Lepisosteus oculatus: one gene and its partner. The protein of the gene in region 1 binds, or shares a complex with, the protein of each later gene. Links are inferred from orthologs where the notes say so. Each region holds a gene or a part of one and is shown on either strand. Other genes may lie near its edges.

Region 1 (7,558 bases):
TTCCAATATTGGTCAATAAGCAAGTCCTGTTGCTGTCTGCTTTTTATCCTGAACCTCCAGATGTTAGAAACATCTTTCTTTTTTATCTGTTTATTTGCTGTACCTTAAGTAACCCTAACAACTCGTTTGCATCCCACAGGACTATATTTCTTTTATAGGAGCATTCATTACTGTCACAAACCCTCCTCTCTCTCACAACAATGGGTATAACAATTCCATTTTATTGTAAGTATTTGCCTGGTGTTTCTCTGTTTCCATTCATGGTTATCTGCTTAAAGGTGAGTGACAGTTTTTTTTAGCGCTGCACAAATGCCATTGAAATATTGCATGCTGTTTTATATTAGCTTGTTTCGGAGTCTTTGTCTTCCTATAACCCAAGCAGACTTGTTTTTCTGTGACTCTCTTGATCCAGCCAGGAGTTTATGTCCAGTCTGCTAATGCAATGCAGTTAAACCATCCTAATGAGACACTCGGTATGCTTGAATGACAGCTTAGTTTTTCAAAAGCAAAAAATAATCTGAAGGTTAACTAGTCTTCTCGCAACAATGGAATTTTGACCCTCTCATTTTATTCACTTTCAGGTTTAGTTTTTAATAAGAAACTGTCTTAAATCCTGGCTTTTCCACTTCATCCTTGCCGTGACAATCCAGTACAGCAATGAGAATATGTAAATGCATTGAACCAGATGTGTCTATCAGATTGAAAAAAAAGGTTCTTTAATATTAACATTTTCCTCTTAGTTTCCTCTTAATAGTCATGGTCTTCTCAGTGCTGCTGTCTTTACAAAACCAACCCTCCCTTCTGGTGAAATATGTTTTAAAGCAAATCAATTTTGTTTAAAAAAAAGTCTGTGTTATGTTACCATTGTCTTGGAGGGAAAGAGTCTGCTGGTGTTTGGGAATGAGTGGTTTCTTACACGAGGGTTTAAATGGAGTGTGAAGATAATGAACAGACATTTTTCTCAATAAAAAGGCAAAAACCAGGATATTTTTCATTTTAATTTTCTTTTTCCTTTGTTTTCTTAAAATTATGGGGCCACAGGTTCATATTAGAATGAAGCAACCTTCTTAACTTTCAGACTCCTTGTGAAATACAGGCTTTAATCGTGTTATCATTTGAAGTGCTTTTAAAAATATGGGATGCGTGAAGCAATCTACTTTAACTACCCCTAGCCATACTAATCAATAATTCATTCAGAGGATAATCCTAAATGAATATGGCAGAGGAGTACCTTTCACTTGTCACTGCAGAATGGATTTTCACCGAGTCCCACAGCATGTGTTTGACAGGACATGGCTTTTGTTCCAATTTAATGTACACAGAGGAATTCACAACGTTTTAATTATTTAATTTCTTCCTCCGAAAAATCTAATATTCAGCAAGACCTGTGGCAACTCTTAATCACTTTCAAAACACAAACATGTAATGGTGCTTTATATCTGAGGAATCTAATCCAAAAGATTCCAAAATATACCAATTGACTGGCAGGAGAGGAAATAGATAGAAGTATATAGGGATATACAGTCCCTGGCAAGTTATTCAAATAACTTCCTACGGTGTCCCATTTTGTGAAATTACAAAATTCTGCATAAAAGTATTTTAAACTTAATTCATTCAAAACCTGCATGCTCAAACTGAATACTTCTAAGGGTTAAAATAGGTTACAGTAAACATCAGTAAAAACTAAATTCAGGGGAAAATTTCAAACACATGAAAATAATGCAAGCACAGGAGACACAAGCACCGGGTCACGGAGCTAATGCAAAGACTGAACACTGCACTGCCACTGAAGCAGGAATAAATGCCCAGCTGGAAACAAGGAAAGTGCTGTTAATTATGTACCAGTGGTATGGTCAACCTTCCCAACCATGTTGCCATAGGAACGGGTTGATTGGAAGATTGATTCAGCGATTGACTACCAGTTTGGAGTTATGGGAGCTAGAAACAGCACTTACCCGGGCGTGGGCATGACATATCTATGTTCATTCAGACTTGACAAGGTTCCCCATCCTTCCTGATGAGAACTACTGTTATAACATAATGCTTGATAACAGGGGTGGTGTTGCCTGAGTGATGCACTGTGCTGAGTTTGCACCAGAAATAATGCTTTACATTTAGATCAGAATATTCCAATTTTGTTATGAAATGCAACCTTTTCCCACATGTTTGCAATGTCACTGAGGTGCTTTGTTGCAAAATCCATGTGGGATTTGTTTAGTTACACACCCCTTTGTGGAGTGACTTGAATATTGTAGACCCATGGATATTTTCTCCCATCTCAGCCACTGAACTCTGTAGCTCTTTTGAAGTTGCTTTTGGCCTCAATGTGGTGATCCTAGAAAGTTTCCTCTTTGTCCAGCCGTTCAGTCTGGAGAGCCATTTTGGAGTTTGATCTTGTGTTGTGACCTAGGCAGGGTTCAGGCACCTTCCACTTCTTAAAGACTGATTTAACAGATTGAGGTGAGATTCTACACAAAAACTCAATGGGAATGTTTTGATCATTGAAAGGCTCGTATGTGTGTTTAATTCTGTGAATCAATGAAATACTTGCAACCAAATGAACAAGACAGGTTAAATGCCCTTATTTTGTTTGGAACCTTTCTAAGTGTGTTTATATATTGAAAAGAGCACCTTACCTGTCAATTCATCCTGTCAGTTTTCACATTAAAAGAACAAAATGGTTTTTTTTTGTGACAATCTAAGGATATCTCACAGAGCATTGTACTATTATTATTATGCATATACAGTACAGGTAAGTGATCATAATTGAACCTAGTCTGGTAAATACAGAAGCAATTATAGACACGTTCAAATAGAGAGGATGTAGGGGGACTCTTTATCCACTGGTTATGTCAGCATTCAACTGAATTTTCTGTTTGACTGGGAGTTTCTTAGTATTCCACTCCTATAAGACTATAGAGAGGAACATGTCATATACTTTTACGTTAAAAGAGTTTGCACAAACCATATACAATAATGGGGCAGAGAATCACAAAACAACTAGATGAAGAAAACCAAAAGCTGTGAGAAACTGTTTTCTTACAGTGCCTACTGTAGGCCAATATGCAACAAAGGTACTGAAAATCAATAACATAAAAAACAGATCTGGCATTAATAGTGCAGACAAAGTGAGAGTAACTTCAAATCCCTGAGGGACTACTGTGTAGCTGCAGCACAAAAAGGCAATCAGAATCAAGGGAGACCATCAGAAACTGACTGGTAAGATCAGCACTAAAATCCTGTTGACACAGTGGGATTTAATCCAGTGCTCTATATAGGTTTAAGAACATTAGCATGAGTGCTAATGGAGCTCTGCTGATGTACATCAATAAACAAGAGAGGACCATGCTCATTATCTATCTCTGCAAGAAGTGTACTTGAATGCTACAGTTATGCATATCGGCTCTTTGTAATTATCAATGCCATTATAGACATAGTTAGAACACCAGTGATACAGCATTAGAACAAGTAAGGTTAATCAAAATATTTAAACCCACTTACATGAAATTGTGTGAAGTGGATACAGGATTAGCATTAGTTTTCCCTCACGCTTCTCTAATCTCTAAGTGTCTCATTGTCATAATTATTGGATATGCATATTTAGATTTCTGTGGGATATCAGTAAACTCAATTATCCATATAATCTATAATCAGGTTGTATTGGAACAAACCTTTATAACAACAGCAGTGTAACAGTTCCAGTGACCTTGTATGTTTTTGGTCCTTGTTTTTATGATCGGGTGATCAGTTAAGACCTAACTCATAGACGTGCGTAATGAAAGATGACAGAAATCTCACGCAAGTCATGAAAAAACAAGTTTCTTATCTTATTGATAGGAGACCAATTTTTTTTCCACTGAAGTACAGAAAGTACTTTTTAATATGCACTGAAATACTGTACATATTATCATAGCCATGCTTCCGTAGATTTAGCCTTTTCACTATCGGAATCAAATTTACTGAAAATACGTGTCTGTACCTCAATAAATTGCATTTTGTGTTCTCCACAGGCGACTTCGTGTCTCGTTTAAAGCGCAAAAGGCAGCAACTTCGGACAGTTTACGTACTTCGCTTCTTGGACAGTTTACGTTGGTCGGATTTGACACTTAGCCCTGCTTAGGAAAATGAAACTTCACGTCTTTAAAAGGTCTTGTATCAAACTGCCTAAGAGCTTATAGTGCTGAAGACATCTTAAAATGTGTAGTAATGGACTGTCGAATGAGGTCTTCCTATTTGTAATTAAAATATTTCGTCTTCCATGCAAATATACCATTTTGACACAACGCCGCTCAAGTTCTCTCACTTCACCGTGCAGATTGTGACTGACATCCATCCCAACTCACAACTGCTGCCTGTCCGAGGTATGCGTGCTGAGGAATCCCATAGCCGCCCTCCAAGCAAACGCAGCTCCCTCACCTTGTATTTTATCGCTGACAGGCCGGCCGACCACTTCCAGCCCCATCTGCCGTAAGCCACTGCCCACAGTGGGACAGCCCGACCAATCAGCCCAGGGGGGACGGATTTCCTGAACTCGGAATCCCCCAGCCAGCTCCAATGTGACAGATTCGAGTAACTGGAGGCAGTAGGTGAGCAGCTGTGAGGACAGAGAGGGGCCAGGGACAGATGCAGGGTGCCGAAATGGAGGGATCTAATAATAACAGCGGCAAACAGAAGCCCCTTCCGAAAGTGAGAGAACTATTCAAGAACCAGAGGAAAGAATCGGAGGTAGGAGCTGATGGATGAACTAGAGTCTGTGTGTAGAAGGTACTGTGTGTGCCCGATAGTTTTTGCGTGCCCTACCTCTTTGGAAAGCGTGCTTAATCTGAGTTGATATGTTGTGACAGCTCAGACTACTGCTAAAAATACATGTGTGAATGTGCGGGCACACAATGTAATTTGATGGCAGTGTCTGGGATAATTTTGTAGCTGGCAGCGTGGCGGTATCAAGCAGAATGATGGTATGGATTTTAGAGCTGAGGACTTGTTAAACTTATTCCAGTATTAATTGATTAATTTTGAAAGGGAGGGCACTCCTTCTACATTTAAGATATATGCAATGAAATTATTATAAAATGTAAAAGATTTCAAAGAAAATCATGTATTTAAATTTAATCAAAACAATCCCATTTATCAACAATTCTGATATGTTTTTTTTTATTTTTCTCGGAATGGCATTCCGCCATTATAAATAAGCATAAAGAAAAAAAACATGCTTTTTTAGACAGAAAAAAAGCATACGAGAGCGACAGTACTGAGTTGGGATATATATATATTATACTACCATTATCTAAAAACAGTATCTTGTTAATCAAATGTGAACACGTTTGCTACACACAGTTTTTGGAAACTAGTATTACATCACCTCAGTTAAGAGATTCCATATAGCCTACCTTTCAATATTCCCATTTAAAGATTGATTTGTGTAGTGTACAATATCCGTTAAGCTGTTTAAATGTGTGAAGTGTTTATTCATTCTGTCATTAAAAATGAGCAAAATCAGTGTTGAATAAAATTAGACCATTTAAACCATCCAGTTATTTAAAACATTAAAGTGCAAAGGGAGACATTTTGTTTTGTAATGATACCAATTTATTTATTCGTACTGTTTTAGCATAAACAAATATTTGAGAAATGGGAGCTCAGTGTCCCTCTAGTCTCACTTTTCTATCACAATGAAGAGAAGATGCTGTCTGATGAAAGGTAAACACTCAAGGGCAATACTTTCATATTCCATATCTTTCTTTTATTTACTATGACATAGTGCTTTTAGTGTAGACAGATGAATCTGAAATTTTCATCTGTTTTCGCCATTCGCCTGCATTTTAACCGATGATCGAAGGCAACATTTTCCAGTGTATTTCTATACTAAAGCAAGTTTTTAAGTAAAACGTTATCTAACCAAATTTTACCCTCTTTTCCTGCAGAAATAGGATTTTCATTCTAAGTATTCTCCATGACCAATTTTTTAATCTTACCCTCTCGAATCAGAAATATTGGGACTTTATTTGAAGAAACCTCTTTAGATGCACACAGATTTGCAGTACTCTAGCTCTGAGGAAGGAAATGTTTTTGAACAGCTGTGTTATCAGTAACTTGAAAGCAGACTATGTGAGAGAGCCATATTAAAGCCCATGGGTAGTGTCTCGGTAAAACTTACCTTTTTCAATAGATAATTTTATTTTCTCAGAGAAATAACCATATGAAAAAAGTCTTAGGTTTTCATTTCAGAATGTATAAAGAGAACTGATCTCATTATGAACTGAGGTAATTATCTGTGGTAAACATGTTTCATGTTACAACTAGGAGCTAATACTGTTTTATTCTTTTCATGTGATTCATCTTATTTTATTCTTGTAATTTGCATTGTTATTTGTTATATACAGTAGAATAAGTAATAGTGACCCTAATTCCCAGATTTTCGTAAAGAAGGCTTTGCAGTGTGCAGTATGATTGTTTTTTGTGAAACACATTCTTAAGGAGTAGAGATCGATTTAAGACACACATATTGGAGAGAAGACAAACCTAATTCAGAGATATTTATATTCTTCTGTGAAAACTGTGCTGAGCAGTGATGATTTTAAGGCACCAAATCCTTCACTGCATCTTTTCCACTATGTAATCCTCCCCAAAAAGGAAGACATCTTGTCAAAATATGTTCAATTCAGTAAAGTAAAGAAATGGGAGATTTCAGAAATATCAATTTTCAGATTAACAGTGGAACATCTCTTTGGATTAAATGTTTTTTCAATGAAGTCATTTGCACGAAGCAGACCTAGCTAGTAAACTATAATCTAAGGATTTCTCTTATCATGCAGTAACTGTTTCGTTGTCTTCTGAAATCTCGACTGTCCACTGTTGTTGAAAAAATAATTTAAAGTGAGTTTCATTGATGGCAGTAAGACTCCTATTGAACCATTTAGATTTTAAGATGATGTAAGTATTTTTCTGTTAGCCAACACCTGTTTCTTGATATTTCTTGTGCATTAACTTAAATTAAGTACATGAACACAAAGAGGTGCAATGATATTGTTACTTGATCTGGTGTTTACAGTATTACAGTGGCATTTATTGTTAGATACTTGTTTCCTATTTCCATCGGAACAAGATTATAAAAGTGCCTGAAGAGTGAAATATGAAATGGATTCATGTGTTGTGTACTAGGAGCCTTCTTTACATCCACAAGAACATAAGAATGTTTACAATCTTATGAGAAGGCAATTTGGTCCATACAGCCTATGGTAGTTGGTAGTTAAGTGATCCAAGGATCTCATCCAGCCATTTGTTGAAAGAAGCCAGAATGTTGCCCTCAAAACCAGCTTGCAGCCCTTTCCATACATCCACAATCCTTTGAGTAGAAGTGGGTAGAGTGAGAAGTGAGTTGAGTAGAGTAGAAGTGTCTCGTGTTCTTGGCTGTACTTTCATGCCATACTGTCCAGAATGATCCTGGCGATTATGTAATTTATTATCAAGTTTATAATTCCCCCACTTTGTATTTTTTTTCCTCTTAACCAACCAAATGTTCTGTGTTTGGAAGTCCAGTATTATTTTAATGAAGGAA
Region 2 (7,894 bases), on another chromosome or scaffold:
GCCTAAAACTACCTAAAGATATATAATACATTTCCTCTGTTAAACAGAACCTTACTGAATCACACTCACATCTGGTTTTCATCAAACTGAATGCCCAATCTCTTTCTGGTGACCAGGCCTTGGTCACCCTACCAAGTACTGCTGTTTGTTCCTGCTCTGTTTTGTGCCTGGTGTTGTCCCAAACACACAGCATGCTTACACCGGTACTGCCAGTGAGGTACTGGCCATCTGCTGTGTCAGAAAGTTACTCATCTAAGGGACACAGCCCGAGGAGCTACCGATCCCACAGGGGGATGAGCAGACCGTTACTTCGGTGAATCTAGCCCTGGGTTCACCACAGGCTGGGACCTGCAGTGATTTCGCCTTTCTCTGAACGTTCAAAGTCAAATTACTACCGATCCAAAGAGCCACTTGTCCACCAGTTCCAAAGCCAGATCCTATGGCTGAATATGAAACAATCTAGTATGTAGGTTAACTAGACATTTGTTTTTTTACAAAAAAAAAAGATTTTAAAAAAGCAAGCATACAGCTCCTAGGATTAGACTGTAACTTTATATTTTCCAGTGCTACCATACTAGATGTCATGGTACGATTTTCTATCTGGTTATCTAAAAAAAAAGGCAAAAAGCTTTAGATTCTCATCTTCAACTGACACAGCACCACCATGCTCTATAATCTTGGGGACAGTCCTTCTTAGCTTACATGGATAAATTTAGCTCTTTAATCACGGAAGAAAGTTAAGATTTAATTAGTTACGGTACTTTGAATCGGGAATGTCTTAATTCTGAGAGAACTAAAAATATTTAAATTAAACTAAATTCCTGTTGGGCTGGTGGGCAAATATCACCAGTCAAAGTAACGCTGCAGCCATCACACTACAATATCATTATCACCTCCAAACAGCACACCTCACTGATTATTTCACTCACAGCTGGTCCTCACTCCCCACTGTCCTTCCTCACTGCCGATAACAACCCGGAGTGACCCAAACGGGTCAGTGAAGTCACATGAGCAAACTAATTCGTCACATGCTCAAGCTATCATACTGGTAGTTTTTGCTCAATAAATTATGTTATCTTAAAACACAGACACAAAAACACCTGAACACTGAAAAGAGGTAGCTTTAGAGGTAGAAAGTGCTATATCCCTGATAAAACAAACTTGTATCCAGAGTTGCTTGGCATTACTTAGTCTTGGTTAAACCCTGGTAAATCATTCAACATTTATGTTTTGGTACCTAATATTGTATTACTACTAATAGTTGGTTTGATGCAAAATGAATTTATTAAAAATCAGAATATTATAATACCTAAATACTTTAAAACTGATTTAAAACCTTAATATTGTAACGCAACGGGGGCTCAGTGTAACGCTTACGGCCGACAAGCAGTGTGTGTAAGAGCCGGCGTACCAGAGCGGGTGACGTCACCGCCCTTCCCTGTGATAGCAGGACCACAGCTACTGGGCTGTGGAGAGATCTCTCTTTAGCTCACGGGGCTAGGTCGCTGCAGAGAGACGCGGAAGTCCCGGGTTCGAGCCACCTATACTTTGGGCCGACCAGATGCGGCAAGGGCGCCCGCCTGAGCCCCCGTTGCGTTACAATATTATGAACATGAATGTATTGTTGTTGAGGACCATATGTTGAGAAAAACCTTGAAAATAAGAAATCTGGACTATTCAGGCCTCTGTAGCCTGAAGTTGGGCCAGTGTTCATATTGTTAATGCCAGGCCCCATTTTTTTATGTCAGTCTGGAATTGAAGACGAATTGAGGTCACTGGTTCTAATGTCTCTGAAGAGATGGCTGACCTGCTGCACAGCTATTCACTCCCAGCCCTTGCCTGTACCTGCTCACCTGGAGCCTGAGCAACTGGGACAGTGGGATCGACTGCTCAGCGCCTTGTCACCACGCAGTGTTACCGATGGGCCGACTGGTCCTTTGAGCACTGCCAGGCTGCATGGTGTCAATACACACACATGCAAGTCCACAGGGAAACGGTGACTGGCCATGGGAATCTACATGTCAGGACACAACTAGCAGACAATTGCATTCAGAGCTGGCACACTGGCTTCTGAGACCATCTGCATGAGGCCCTGGCCAGTGCTCTCAGTAACACGACTGCACACAGCAAACAAGTACACTGGAGGGCAGTGCTGGAAACAAGCCCTTCGAGATACTTATTTTTAAGGATTAGGCTTCAGTCATTTTACAAACTTTTTAAAAAAGACCACCACTTGACAAAACGCACTCAACCAACTCCAAAGTCTTTTGGAGCTTAAGCTTAAAACCATTAAACTCAGTGACTTTTCTGTAAAATCCAGGTTAACTTCGTGAAGTGTTTTTTCACGAGAGTTCAGACGGGAGCACCGCCTGATCCTCCCACACTACACCGCAGCCCCCGGCTCGGACACGTCACCCCGCTCCGTTTTCGGGGTGCCAGCTGACCCCGAGGTCACGCACCCGTGCACAGCTGGAGGGAACAGTGTCACGACACCGGAGCGGGGACTGCAGCGCCCTGATTTTGCAAGCCCTTTCATGTGGCGATTGGTGACGATGTGTTGAGCAGGCTTGCTGACCGTGTGCCGTCGGACGACACACAACAATGTACAGACCACCGCCGCCCGAAATCGCACCGCCGCGGCTGCTGCTCTGATTGACCGACCTACACGGAGCGACAGCGAGCCGGCCGTGCGCTTCTCCCCCAAAGAAACGGGTTTTCAAGTTCCCATGCGATTACCCTCAGCTCGTCTCTCTCGGCTTCCCAGCGGTATTTCTCGGCCTGAAAGCGACCCCATTCGTGCTGGATGAAGTGCAGGATCCCGGGCAGAGAGAGGCCCGCTTCTGCCTCCTGCATGTCCTTTGGCTGGGAAGAGGCAGCCATCGCCCCCGCGGCGGACGGGGAGGGAGACGCCGCCGCTTTGGGCCCGTTGGGGTTCCGTCCAGCGCCGCTCCCGCCTGGGCTCGGGTTCGTTGCGCCCGCTCCTCCACAGGACCTGTCCGCCTCCATGATGGAGAACTAGGAGTCGCCAGGATAAACAGGGAGACGATAATATAATCCCCCCCTCCCTCTCCCTCCTCTTTTCAGATCACTACCGCCAGCTACTCTACCACACGCACACACAAGCCTCGCCTGCCAAATAGTGATCTCCGTCGACTTGCATCGTTTTCCTGCGGCGAGTGCTTGGCAGGGCGGTACCTTCCTGCCAAATTGTGAGCCGAGCTGTTTCCTGCAGTCATTTCCTAACTAAAGCCGCTGGCTCCCGTAGGAATAACAATTCGGGGATTGCGTTTTTGGAAAAAAGGAAAAAAATCTTCTCTGTGGGCCCCGCTTCTTTACGTATGTGCATTTTCCGTTTTATATTGTTACTGTAAAAATGTCTATACGGCGTTTTTTTCCCTCGCAGTAAAACCCTTGCTTCGTGGATTACTAAGCAATTGCTATAAATACAAGCATTACTAGACTAGCATTGCTCAGCAATCTCAACCCATTTCATCGCATGGTAATAGGGGCGTCGTAGTTCCCATAAAGCAGATAACCCGTTTCATAAAAAAAAAAGAAATAGTGATAATATCGTGTCATTGTGTTCTGTATTTTTACGGTTAACACAATGTAATGATACATAGTCTGTACAATAGACTCCCGAGTGCGCTTTACTCGTGCTGTCCCTAATTACTATATTGGCGTGTTTATTTTTTTACTTTTTAAAGAAAAATGCGCCAACCAGTTAAACGCACAGCACAAACTTCAAATGGTCACATCGGTATTTTAATAGAGGGAGTCAATGTTTGTGATTCATTCAACAGGAAAATGACAAATGTATATTGCGTGTTTCTATGTTCGCAAGACGTTATGGAAAACAAAACTGGACGTTGTGATTGAGTCATAGTTTGGCGTGCAATCGCTGCCCCCTGCGGAATAGCGCCCCCTTGTGGGTCTCAGGCCAAGTGGCAGAAGTTCATAATCGATTCCGCAGGTTTATGCAGGGGGAGGTTTCCATGGGAACGGAAGATCTCAGCAGCACACTTTGATATGTCTCCAGTTACCAAGGAAACGTGGAGATTCAAGAATACTGCTGCCTCAGTCCATGTTTCCAAGAAAATGTTGATCTAGGTGTACAACTGCCAAAGTAGATACAGAATCCTGGTCAGTATGAACTTAAAATTTTATTTCCCTATATAAGCTCCTATAAATTACTAATTGATGATTTAGAGAAATTCAAGGTGTTAAATTTACATTGTAATACACACATTAATTGGTACTCGTTTAAAATGGTTTCTTTTCATCTCTCCAGTATAAATTTCCATGCACTTTACTTGCAGCACTTCATTATCACACATTCAGCCTTTTGTGTATTTCTAATTTGCAAAAGAGAAACACATAGGTATGGGACCTGACCACAGCATTGTTTTTGACAAAACCTACATGTTTTATAAAATATATGTGTTTCTACTTTAACTGTGCTGTTTAAATCTGTGTGAGCTCTCAGTGGAATTCTGGTGACCTAATACACGCCACGCCACGCTGCTCCTGGGTCTTTTCCTAGCTGTGCTTTTCCATGAATAACAGATTGGACCCTGCTGATAGTAGTGGTATAGATGCCCACATCACAGTTTCTTCATTCCATCCACTCCACTCGCCTGCCTGTTCTACTGCTAGCACAGCCACATGGTCTCATCATGTGGTTCATCCAGAAAGATCCTTCAAATACAGGACAGACCCCACCTGGGTGATGCATGGCCAGCACACCCACTACAGGCTCATAAGGTGAAGAAATGAGAATGATTTTTGCCTGTTAAATTCATAGGGGACTTTAGGGAGACTAGACTGCACAAACAAACCCAGAGTGCAAGTCTATACACTCTCGTTCTTATGAAGACTGACATGGGGTGGTTAATAAGCAAGTATTAAGGACTTCAAATTCACATCTCATCTGATAAAGTGCACATCCTACAATACGGAGTCCTGGTCACCCACTGGGGTGCTGGTTTGGAAATTTGGAACCAGCGGGAGGAGTGCCTCAAAATCTGTTTTTTTCTTAGCGATGTCCTATTTCAATATAGGTCTGGTGTCATGGGATCATGCTACAGGGTGGTAATGCTGATGTAAAAAATCAGAACAATTTAGTCAATTGTATTTATCTAAGAGGCACATTGCTCATACTACTAATTCACAGGCATAAACACATATAACTAAGTGTTATACTGCAGGTAAGGGCAGAGGCAGAAAGGTTTTAAAATCAAAATACACTGATCTGTCTGAAAACTTTACAAAGCTGTTTTCAGTTTTTCAGACCATAAACACAACCTCTTTTTAATTATTAAATATATTTGTTTTATATTCTTTGGCATTTTGACAGTTAGGTTTTTACTTAAATTTAAAATCACATCTGTAGGAGAATGAGAAATTAGAATTAGACAATACTGGTTCATAAGCATGTGAAAACCCATGAATACCTATTTAGAGGAACAAACAACAGAAGGAGAAATGGCCACACTCTATAGCTTTTATCACATGTCATTTCTGTGCTTTCAGGTATTCCCGGAGGAAGCCACTAGCACTTTGTGGACAAATGAAGTCTTCCCTTTTGAAACGAAGCACAGTCCTTTGGCGTTCTGATTCAAGCTACCTATAGGCAGACCTGGGAAATGAAGCCCTTCACACCAACACTGGTGACCTGCAATCAGACTCACACATGAAAGACAGAAAGTATTGGAAAGTGTGAAAAATATGGGCTGCTAAAAATTAATAAAGATCAGTCATTGCAGTGGGATAGTCTTGGTGTGGAAGTGGATTATTTTGTGAAGAAGATGTACTTGAAGCAGTGATGCTTAAAGCGGTTGAGAGCTACACACAGGAGACGTGAGTGATGTAAAGAACTCAGCTTGACAGTTAAGCCTTCGAGCAGGAAGGATGAGAGTGAGCTTCTGCCAGGGCCTCCTAACTGGGGCCATAGCTCTGAACCTGCTGATCCTCTACTATGTGTCCCGGGCCCAGCAGCAGATGATGGAGAAGCGCAGGGAGCCGGGGAAGGGTTTGCCAAAAAAGGCACCCCTGCCCGCAGCTGGGATGAGTATTGGGATGGGCATGGGTATCAGTGGCAATAGCAGGAGCCCTGGTGTCACAGTTCTGTTGCGTGAGTTTGAAGACTTTGAGAACTATGTGCAGGAGGTGGCACATTCTTTCTTGCGACATCGCCCTGAGCTAACGTTCTTGGTGGTGGCGGACACTCTCCCTTACCCACCCCTGCAGCTGCCGGAGGGGGTGCGTCTTGTGGTCCTGAAGCCTGCTCCAGACCAGCCCCCGCAAGTGTCTCGGCCAGAGTTCTTTATTCAAACGGAGTACGTCCTTTTTGTGCCAGACGGCGTGGAGCTGGACCTGGGGAGACAGTTGGATCGGTTGGTTAGAGAGCTGGAAGGGGAGGGCGGGGGGCCAGTACGACTGGTGGCGGCCCCAGTCCTGTCCCGGTCGGCAGTGCAGTGCCTCCATTTACGAGTGAGCCTGAGGGAGTGGACAGCCACCTACACCCCAGCAGCGTCAGGGAGCAGTGGCAGTGTGTGCACAGCCCTGCGTGGGGATGCTGTAGTCCTGACCCGGACAGAAGACCTCTTCAATCTTTCCAGCCCTCTTGCCCGGCCGCTCATGACCTCTCTGTTCATCCAGACTTCCTTGCGGGGATGGAAGGTCAAGCTTCTGGAGGGGCCCTCTTTCGGCTCGAACCGCAGGCCTCTCTTCGGCTCAGCTCACAATCAGTGGAAGGCTGACAGCCGCCTGAAGGAGTACACGGCACGGCTGCTACGCGAATTCGGGATAAAGCGGGTTATTAATCCAGATGGAAAGGAGCAATGGTTTGGTTGCAACAAGGAGATGCCCCGATGCTTTGGGACAATCCATGATGACACCCCCGAATATCTCTACTTGGAGCGCTGGACACCCCCCTGCTGTCTGCGTGCCCTACGGGAGACAGCTAAGTATGTCATCAACATCTTGGAGAGCTCAGGAGTCCGTTATTGGCTGGAAGGGGGGACTCTCCTGGGTGCTGCCCGCCACCAAGATATTATTCCCTGGGACTTTGACGTAGACCTGGGCATTTACCTGGAGGATGTACCCAACTGCGACTACCTGAAGAACTTGGACTCCGGCTCCCTTGTGGACGCCAATGGCTATGTGTGGGAAAGGGCAGTAGAGGGGGATTTTTACCGGGTTCAGTTCAGCGAGGCCAACCACCTGCATGTGGACCTTTGGCCTTTCTATCCCCGCAACGGTGTGATGACCAAGGACACCTGGATGGACCACAAGCAGGATGTGGAATTCCCTGAGCATTTCCTGCATCCCCTGGTTCCTGTCCAGTTTGCCGGAATAACCGCCTATGCACCCAACAACTACCGTAGCTTCTTGGAACTCAAGTTTGGGGAAGGGGTGATAGAAAACCCCCAGTACCCCAACCCTGCTAAAAAACGACTGGACAGAAGTAGACTCTGAGTACTTTGAGAAGCAGGACTGTGGTGGTCTTAAAGAGTACTGCAAGGTGACTGATATTACTTTCATCAAATGACTTGAAAAGATTCTCAGGAGGCTGAGAAATATATAACTGTTAACACTCCTTTCTTATAAGGTTCTCTCAGATTTTTCAGATTGAAATAAGATTCTTACAGTGCTGAACTGGGTTATTACCTTTTTTCAAATTCAGAATTAGAAAGAACATGCTGGCCAGCCATGGAATATCTGTAATAACTCCCATGGATGAAGTTCATTCTTCATGACATTTTATTGACTGCATATTTACATTTGTAAAATAAAAAAACATTAAATAAACCAGTAATCGCATTAGCTGTCAGACAAAGTAGAATGATTAATTTTACACAAAACTATTCCCAAATCATTGAGTGAAATGTAA

Evidence for each region. The genes of interacting proteins can lie anywhere in the genome.
Region 2: strip2 (region 1) and strn4 share a complex: the UniProt entries of both Homo sapiens proteins name them as parts of the core of STRIPAK complex. The link is inferred for Lepisosteus oculatus from reciprocal best matches to the Homo sapiens genes STRIP2 and STRN4.

Annotation. Positions count from the first base shown.
Region 1 is NC_090702.1:33,447,995-33,455,552, forward strand, and holds the start of strip2 (striatin-interacting protein 1 homolog), read left to right. Parts: upstream 1-4,545; 5' UTR 4,546-4,623; coding exon 4,624-4,725; intron 4,726-7,558. UniProt on the Homo sapiens protein: Plays a role in the regulation of cell morphology and cytoskeletal organization. Required in the control of cell shape. Calmodulin-binding scaffolding protein which is the center of the striatin-interacting phosphatase and kinase (STRIPAK) complexes.
Region 2 is NC_090698.1:474,715-482,608, reverse strand, and holds the start of strn4 (striatin-4), read right to left. Parts: upstream 3,007-7,894; coding exon 2,737-3,006; intron 1-2,736. Other genes in the region: ribitol 5-phosphate transferase FKRP, read left to right, coding at 5,911-7,479. UniProt on the Homo sapiens protein: Calmodulin-binding scaffolding protein which is the center of the striatin-interacting phosphatase and kinase (STRIPAK) complexes.